Linked DNA regions of Bombyx mori. The protein of the gene in region 2 purifies or fractionates together with the protein of the main gene of each other region. This does not show direct contact. Links are inferred from orthologs where the notes say so. Each region holds a gene or a part of one and is shown on either strand. Other genes may lie near its edges.

Evidence for each region. Proteins that work in one complex are often made in the same cells at the same time.
Region 1: the proteins of cyclin dependent kinase 5 (region 2) and transmembrane protein 94 purify together in Homo sapiens (affinity purification with mass spectrometry; 5 studies listed by BioGRID and IntAct, with this or other methods). This does not show direct contact. The link is inferred for Bombyx mori from reciprocal best matches to the Homo sapiens genes CDK5 and TMEM94.

What each region holds. Positions count from the first base shown.
Region 1 is NC_085123.1:3,043,100-3,046,757, forward strand, and holds part of transmembrane protein 94, read left to right. Parts: intron 1-727; coding exon 728-850; intron 851-1,341; coding exon 1,342-1,509; intron 1,510-2,013; coding exon 2,014-2,290; intron 2,291-2,876; coding exon 2,877-2,970; intron 2,971-3,658. UniProt on the Homo sapiens protein: Could function in the uptake of Mg(2+) from the cytosol into the endoplasmic reticulum and regulate intracellular Mg(2+) homeostasis.
Region 2 is NC_085125.1:9,569,024-9,573,311, forward strand, and holds cyclin dependent kinase 5, read right to left. Parts: upstream 2,870-4,288; 5' UTR 2,860-2,869; coding exon 2,202-2,859; intron 791-2,201; coding exon 552-790; 3' UTR 508-551; downstream 1-507. UniProt on the Homo sapiens protein: Proline-directed serine/threonine-protein kinase essential for neuronal cell cycle arrest and differentiation and may be involved in apoptotic cell death in neuronal diseases by triggering abortive cell cycle re-entry. Interacts with D1 and D3-type G1 cyclins.

The sequences.
Region 1 (3,658 bases), on a different chromosome or scaffold from region 2:
AACTAATTTTTATAGTTATTTATAGTTTATGCATAATATTTTTATACTGTTTCTACTAATTTATTATATGTCTTGCATGCCGCTATGCCCTACCATTAGTTGCAAAACAAGTGGCGTAACCAACCCTTGACGAATTATTGTAAAGGAGTAAGTACAAAAAGTGAAAGTTTTTTAGACGGTCCAATATAATATTTATCCTTTTGACTCACTTGCCTAAATAAATATACCATTTAGTTATTATTGTTTTGATTGAACTAAACTTTTAATCGACAAAGTTTTAATTGGTTATAATTCAATCGAGGGTTATTTCAGAGTTGTATTGAAAAAAAAAAGCTATAAATTTTACTTTAAAAATGCTTTCAAAAATGATTGTATTTGCTTACTTTGGTAAAATTTAGCTAGGCCTATGCTTGGCGATTTGCTTGTAATGAACTCAGAAATAAGAATAATTTTAAGATAGACTATTAAATATTGCTATATAATATATAATACGTAACGTGGGACGCCCCCTGGCTAGGTGGTGCGATGACCTCCCAACAGTGACCGGCAGAAGTGGATCAGGAGAGCCGAAGACCGGGCTCTGTGGTGTAGATTGGGAGAGGTCTATGTCCATCAGTGGACGGCTGTGGGCTGATGATGATGATGATAATGATGATGTAGAGAGAGGCCTCGCGCTCATCATATACCTAGGGGGTCTTGTGAATTAAAATATTCGTTTGTGTCTTAGATGACGCGGGAATCGGATCTGTCACTGTTCACATTAATAACGACGTCGCGTCACTTCATGACGTGCCTGTGGAACTGCACCCAGTTCTGGATATGTAGCGTTTGTTTCATAGCCCTGTTACAGGTTAGTGTGTGTTTGTACTTCTAGACTAACTAGATCAACTTCTGTGTTCGACTAAATACTTTATAGAAGTGTCTTGAGCTTTATGTAATGTGTATTATATGTAATGTGATTTGTCGCAACAAGTATTGGTAGTCAAAAAAAATTATAATTACAGTAATCCCCCCTATAACGCAGTACCTTTATAACGCGTTTTCATGTTATGCCATTTCTATCCCCCATGTATTTTTTTATTACTTAGATGGATGGACGAGCTCACAGCCCACCTGGTGTTAAGTGGTTACTGGAGTGCAGAGACATCTACAACGTAAATGCGCTTGAGATATGAGTTCTAAGGTCTCAGTACAGTTACAACAGCTGCCCCACTCTTCAAACCGAAACGCATTACCGAGACGCATGCTTCACGGCAAAAATAGGCAGGGTGGTGGTACCTGCCCGCGCTGACTCACAAGAGGTCCTACCGCCAGTAAACTCAGAGAATAGATGGTATTTAGACAGGTTCCCTGTGCGGGTTCTTGCCGCTGGCGCTGAGCGTGGGTGGCGCGGCGTGGTGCGGGCTCGTGTCGGTGCCGCACGTGGCGGGCGCGCTCGCCCTTGCCCCCCCGCACCCCGCGCTCTCCCAGCGCGCCGCCACCAGGCCAGACCATCAGCTGAACCTCAAGGTACCGCACAACGCAACTAAATACCCGCCAGCACGTATGTGGTATGGTGATGGATTGTCGCATTCCATCTTGCGCTAATCTTTTATTTATTTATTGCTTAGATGAGTGGACGAGCTAAGAGGTTACCGGGGCCCAGAGACATCTACAACGTAAATGCGCCACCCACCTTGAGATATAAGTTCTAAGGTCTCGGTATAGTTCCAACGGCTGCCCCGCCCTTCACGGCCGAAATAGGCGGGGTGATGGTACCTACCCGTGCGGACTCCACCACCACTAGTTTTATGCAGTTGGAACGTTTGGATACGTTTGCCGCTAGGGGCGCTGTTCCAATTCCATACAAATTTGGGTTAACTTTTACGCTATCGAGAACGTTAAAAAACTCGCACTAAGCACACAGAGCTCGGAACTCGTCTCGCTTGTGAACACACCTAGCGCAGCAGAGCCCCACTCCGGCGACTGGATACGGCTTCAGTACACGACACGTTGTCTCGCCGCTGTCGACAGATGGCGGTGTTCGTGTTCTGGTGCTACGCGTGCAAGTTCGTGCCGGCCGCCGTCTCCATCCTCGTGCTGTACGGGCTGACGCTGCGCAGCTTCTGCGAGCAGATCGCGGCCGCCACCAACGCGACGTCGTGCTGGATCGTGTACCCGGTGAACGTGGGCGCGTTCCCGCCCAGCCACGACCTCACCGCGAGGAGCTGGCACGGCTGGGGCGACGACTTCTACGACGGATTCTATTTGACCCAACATATCGTGCTCGCTTTGATAACTTTGCATTTAAGTGAGTGGTTTTTTTAAGTGAAACTTCTTTAGAATCGTTGTGATTTCAAACTAGATGAAACGAAAAAATAAGTCCATAGAGACACAAACACATAAATGTATAGGATTCCGCCGGCGAGAGAATGAGATAGAACACATTAGACGTTCCGCCTCTTCGTAGCATCCCCACTATCGTCTACTAAACATTGTCCATATGTATGCTCCTGTGTAGTGGGATTGTCAGTATATCTATATCTTATTTATAATTTTCACTTCTACCGTGTGTGACTTGCACACACACACACGCGCTTTTTCTTTTCTTTCTTCTTTCTTTCAAATAGCGGTCCTAAACCTAAACCTCAAGGGTTTCACTTCATTAATCTTCACCGGAGTCACGCAACTTTTTCTAACGCAATTAATAAATGGCATTTAATAGTGTGAGGTACATTGTAGAATAAGGACATCGTTAGTACGATGAATATGTTTTTTTTGTCCTCCAAAATGTTGATTATAAACGTGTTTTTGATTAATAAAATCTCTTATTTTATCCGAAACTCGAGTTCGTGTTTTGAATATTATAATCTCTACAATATCGTGTTCGTTTGCAGTTGTGATCTCATTATCATTCGTCCATCGCTACTCGTCGATATGGCAACGTGGCTTCTGGACCAATCGGGCGTGGACCATCACTGTTGTCGTTCTGTGAGTTATATTCCAATACTTAATTAATTCAATACAATGTCAACGAGTCGTCGTGGCCTAAAGCTAGCTTGAGAGGGTATGTCAGCGTTTTTTTTTTAAACCTAACAAGTAGGTGACAAGCGTAACCTAACAAGTAGGTGAACTCACGGGGCTCAAATCTGACGACGTTGCTAACACGAACTCTAGCAAGAGCCGTGCTTCGCAGAATCTACCACCGGATCAGAAATGCGATCCATTGAGAAGATCTGTGTCTGAGGGTTCATTTACTCGTCGAGCCCTTCACCGCAAGCGACAGGTTCGACGAGAACGATGACCGGTCCAAATGTTGTTGTTCGGAACTTGTATATATGCAAGGCTTTTTTTTAATTTAAACGGCCGTCTGGTGTAGTGGTAAGTGACATGGTCACTACATAAGGGGGTCGCGGGTTCGAATCCCGCCAAGGGAAGATATTTGTATGATAAATATAAATGTATTTTCCAGGGTTATGGATGTATATTAAATATATGTATGTGTATAATAAAAATCTTACATTTATTTCCGTTATCTGGTACCTGTAACACAAGTTCTTTACGAACTTATCACGAGACCAGTTAACGTGGCGTGATTGTTAGTAAATATTTATTTATTTATTTATTTAATGGCTCGAGTCTCTTCTTTCACGAATGACTTTGCCAATGTCAGGTAGAT
Region 2 (4,288 bases):
TTTGAGTGGAGTCAGTTGCTAATAATGTGAATGCACATTTACAATTTTGTAAAGTGAGTTTTTTAAATATGTAGTCAGCTATCTGACTCTACATTTTCATTGCTAAATATAAATAAGTTTCATTTTAACAATCAATTTTGTTTTGTTTCAAAGTGCATTTATGTTTTACGCATCAATATTATACTTAATATTTATATGTTTTTACTTTTTAATTCATCATTTCATCTTTCATATTACACATTATTAAAGTCCATTTGTAAACCATTTGTTCATAAAGTTAACTTCATTTTAATTTAGGACATTTCAGTAATAATTATAAAATCGATTAAAAATATCACTAGTAGCCAAATACTGGAACCTTATCAATATAATTTGAAACATAACAATTCCCAATATTATGGTATTTAAAATTACTTGGTAAAAATACAGTATTTGGCAGTACTTTTCTTAAAATCTAATTAAGTCTCATCCTCACAACACTCTTCTATTTCATCATAGTTCTTTTCACAATAAATAAGTTCTGACGTACATTTGTACGGATGGATTGATTGTTAACATCGATCATTCTTGACTGACGGATTGAGATCGTGGAAATACGCATGCGCCATTGCATCATCAGCTGGCATTCTTAAAGCTGGATTGCAGGTGAGCAGCCGAGCGAGTAGATCTCGACCTCTAGCCGGCAATCTTGGTACAACTTGGGCGAGGCCTAAACTTGGCTGATAAACAGGCAAAGGTTTGTAGTCCGGCAGTTGAGTTACTCCAGGCCATGTGTCCTCATTGGGTGTACCTGATAAGTAAACATAGTTTGATTGAAAAAGGATAACTGACAGATTAATACACCCATACAATACCAGTGACACACTTCCTATTTGTATGTCAATGAATAAGTCTTTGCAAATGGCACAATATTTACAATGCAAGAGCTTTGATGTAATTTTCCTAGACAAATCTATATATTTTTACTAAAAATATGTAAAAGTTAACTATTATTTTGTAACACTTCAGTACACTCTGTAGGCATTTTTATAAATACTATGTTTACCGTAAGTTTCTGAAATGCAGAAGAAGAAATCTTATGATGGCAGAAAATTATATTCATTTGCTAATTAAAGTATTTATGATATATATATAGAAGGGGTCTGCAATATGACTCAGCAAAAAAATTAAATAACAACACAAAATTTGAAACATGAGTCGACTATTATCAAAGGCGGCAATCTGACTTTTTGACAATGATTGGTAAATCAGAAAAACGAATTATTGACTTTGTATTCCATTGGCAGTCACAAAACTCTTCGGAACGACATCTTAGATAAATAACAGGTTAACTATTAACCTTTATTTAATGCAGGTTTTGAACCGTATTCTTTGAAGGAGACGATTATATTCAAATAAATCTGTATTGACATATCAATAAAAAAAATTTGTCCAAATGTACAGATTGCCACCTTTGATAATAGACGACTCACATGTTCAAACTTTAATGGTATAATATGTATTTTTTAGTTTAATATGGTACATGATGTCATGATTGACTATTTTAGTAAAAAAAATGATTTATTATTTAAATGCCGAAGTGTTCATCAATTACAATAAGTTATAGGAAAGGAAACACTATTCCTACTTAATGACATTGTTCGACCGTGAGTGTTGGGATTAACATTCTTATATTATTTTGTACTTGGAGGACTAGGCTAACAACTTTTGTCAGGCCGGTAATCTTTATGCCAACCCATAGATTGTTTCTAACTTTTTTATGCAGAATCTGCAATCTAATAGGGGGTTGACTAGAAAATAGTATGTGTGGAATTATCAGACAGCTGTTTACTAAGCCCCCAACAGAATAAAGTAGCAATGGTGATATGGTATATTGTAAGCCTACTCTCTAGTTTGTTGGGAGAGTTAAAATTCAATAAATTTATTTTACATATTGTTATAATCTGTCCGATCCTTTAAATAAGGCATCAATCAGACATAATCATAGTTCTTACTTTTGCATAATTATATGCAGTTAATGTTGGTATTAAGCTCAGAGACTCGGCCATTCAAATTTAATTTAAGATCTAAACCAGTTTTGTGATATGACTTTTTATTGTCACCAAGAGCCCTTATGTGGTTTTCAATATAAAATCATAATTAGGCTTCCTAAATTCAGAATAGAGTAATAAAACTTTGGAGATTTATTATGATGAACTCACCTAAAAGCTTAAAAATCCTCTTTAATTGATCATCAACATCTGAACCTGGGAATAGCGGTCTGCCCGAATTTGCAAGTTCTGCAAATATACATCCAGCAGACCACATATCAATGCTTGTTGTGTACAACTTAGCACCAAATAATACATCAGGAGGCCGGTACCATAAGGTTACAACTTCAGCGGAATAGCACTTTACTGGTATGCCAAAAGCTCTGGCCAGACCAAAATCAGCTAACTTTAATTCACCGTTCTTGTTTATTAAGAGATTCTGTGGCTTCAAGTCCCTATGGAGAACGTTGTGGCTGTGACAAAAAGCTAGTCCTCGAAGTAATTGATACATGAATGATTTCACAACATCTAGATCTATTTCTCCATTCAAACTATCGAAGTATTTTTTTAAGTCTTGATCACAATGTTCAAACACTAGGGTTAATTTCTTTTCGCTGTGCAATACATCGTAAAGTCGCACTATATTTTTATGCTTTAATTCTTTGAGAAGACATATTTCACGAAGAGCGGAAGATGGTACTCCTTCATCGTCGTCGTCTAATCTAACACGTTTGAGCGCTACGATTTCGTGTGTTTCTTTATTCTTGGCTTTAAATACCGTACCATAGGTTCCTTCACCGATTTTTTCAAGTTTCTCATATTTTTGCATATTTTTGAACTACAGATTTACTCACTTTAGTTCGATCGATTGTTTTTAATTTAGACTGACTTATATTAAGTGTATAATCTATGGACTGACTGATTTTTGAGTAGTTGTTCTATTTTTCCAACCGGACAGGCACAGGTATCTTACTATACAGCCTACGCTTTTGATATATATTTTTTGAATAATGATAATATGAAGTGAAATTAAATGAATTTGATTAATTTGGAACGTTAATCACTTGACATGAAATGAAATTAAATGAGATGAGATAGTATGGGGTGAAATATAATCTCAGTAAAAAGTTGATTGTTTACTGAGACTTTTTTGTGGACTTTTTGGAAGATCCCGAGAAGCTACGTCCAGCGACTTTGTTTTATTTTCCCATATTTGTGTACTTTTACAGATACTAAACAGTTAATAAGCCACGATTAATCACACACTACCACATTTAAACCTGAAGAAACACTAAATATACAGAATAAAACAATTCACACAACTTCACTCCTCGCATTCCTGCTAAAAAGTCCTCTGTCTTATTAGTACATACTACATGTTGGAGTTTGAATATGAAAGTAATGGCCGGCAACAGTTGACACATGTAAGGTTACAGTTTCGAATATTGGAATTATTTTAAAAGTCTAAAATAAATAATTGTGTTCTCGTCAGTGAAGACAACGACTTCTCATCTAGACACGGTCAGAGCAACATCTAAGAGTTTTATAAAAAATAAAACATTGTAATAATGTTATAGTGTACAAAGTGTTTGCAATATAATTATATTAACCATGAAGCAGAGTGTTTTTAAATAGCCCCTCATCAACCTACAGAACCCAATCCCCTCAAATTTCACCGTCCAACACTACATACAACTATCTTATAAATCTACATATTATTATGCATGTGAAGGGCCGTCAAACATTCATTCGCAAACTTAGCAGCTGTGCAAATGGGTTCGGTAGTCAATTCGCGAACCCGTTTGCGCTTCCTCCTACACTTGTTTACGAATGTCTCACGAATTTCTCCTCCTTTTTAATTCGTCAATAGACATTGAAGAGAAAAAGAGTTTTGAATTCTTTCCCAGACATCATTAACAGCCATGCTGTTTTTATGGGATTTCTTTTGATGAAGATACGTTACACAGTAGACGTCACGAACTATGAAAATGACGATACGTCCGTTACCTTCGTAATCGTCGGCGCAACTGGGCAAACGAATGTGTGGGAGACTACGCGAAGGCTCGCGGTTCGCGCGCTTTGATGTCTGTTAAAAAACCGACACAGCTTGGAAAACCACGAATGTAGCGAAAACTTTGCATAATCATTTGCAAATGTCGTCCTACACTTGCGGGTTTGCGTATTCGTGCGCATGTGAGTGACCGGTGTTATAAACGTGCAAGGAAATCATAGTATTAGAGCATACAGGCGCAGGTCTA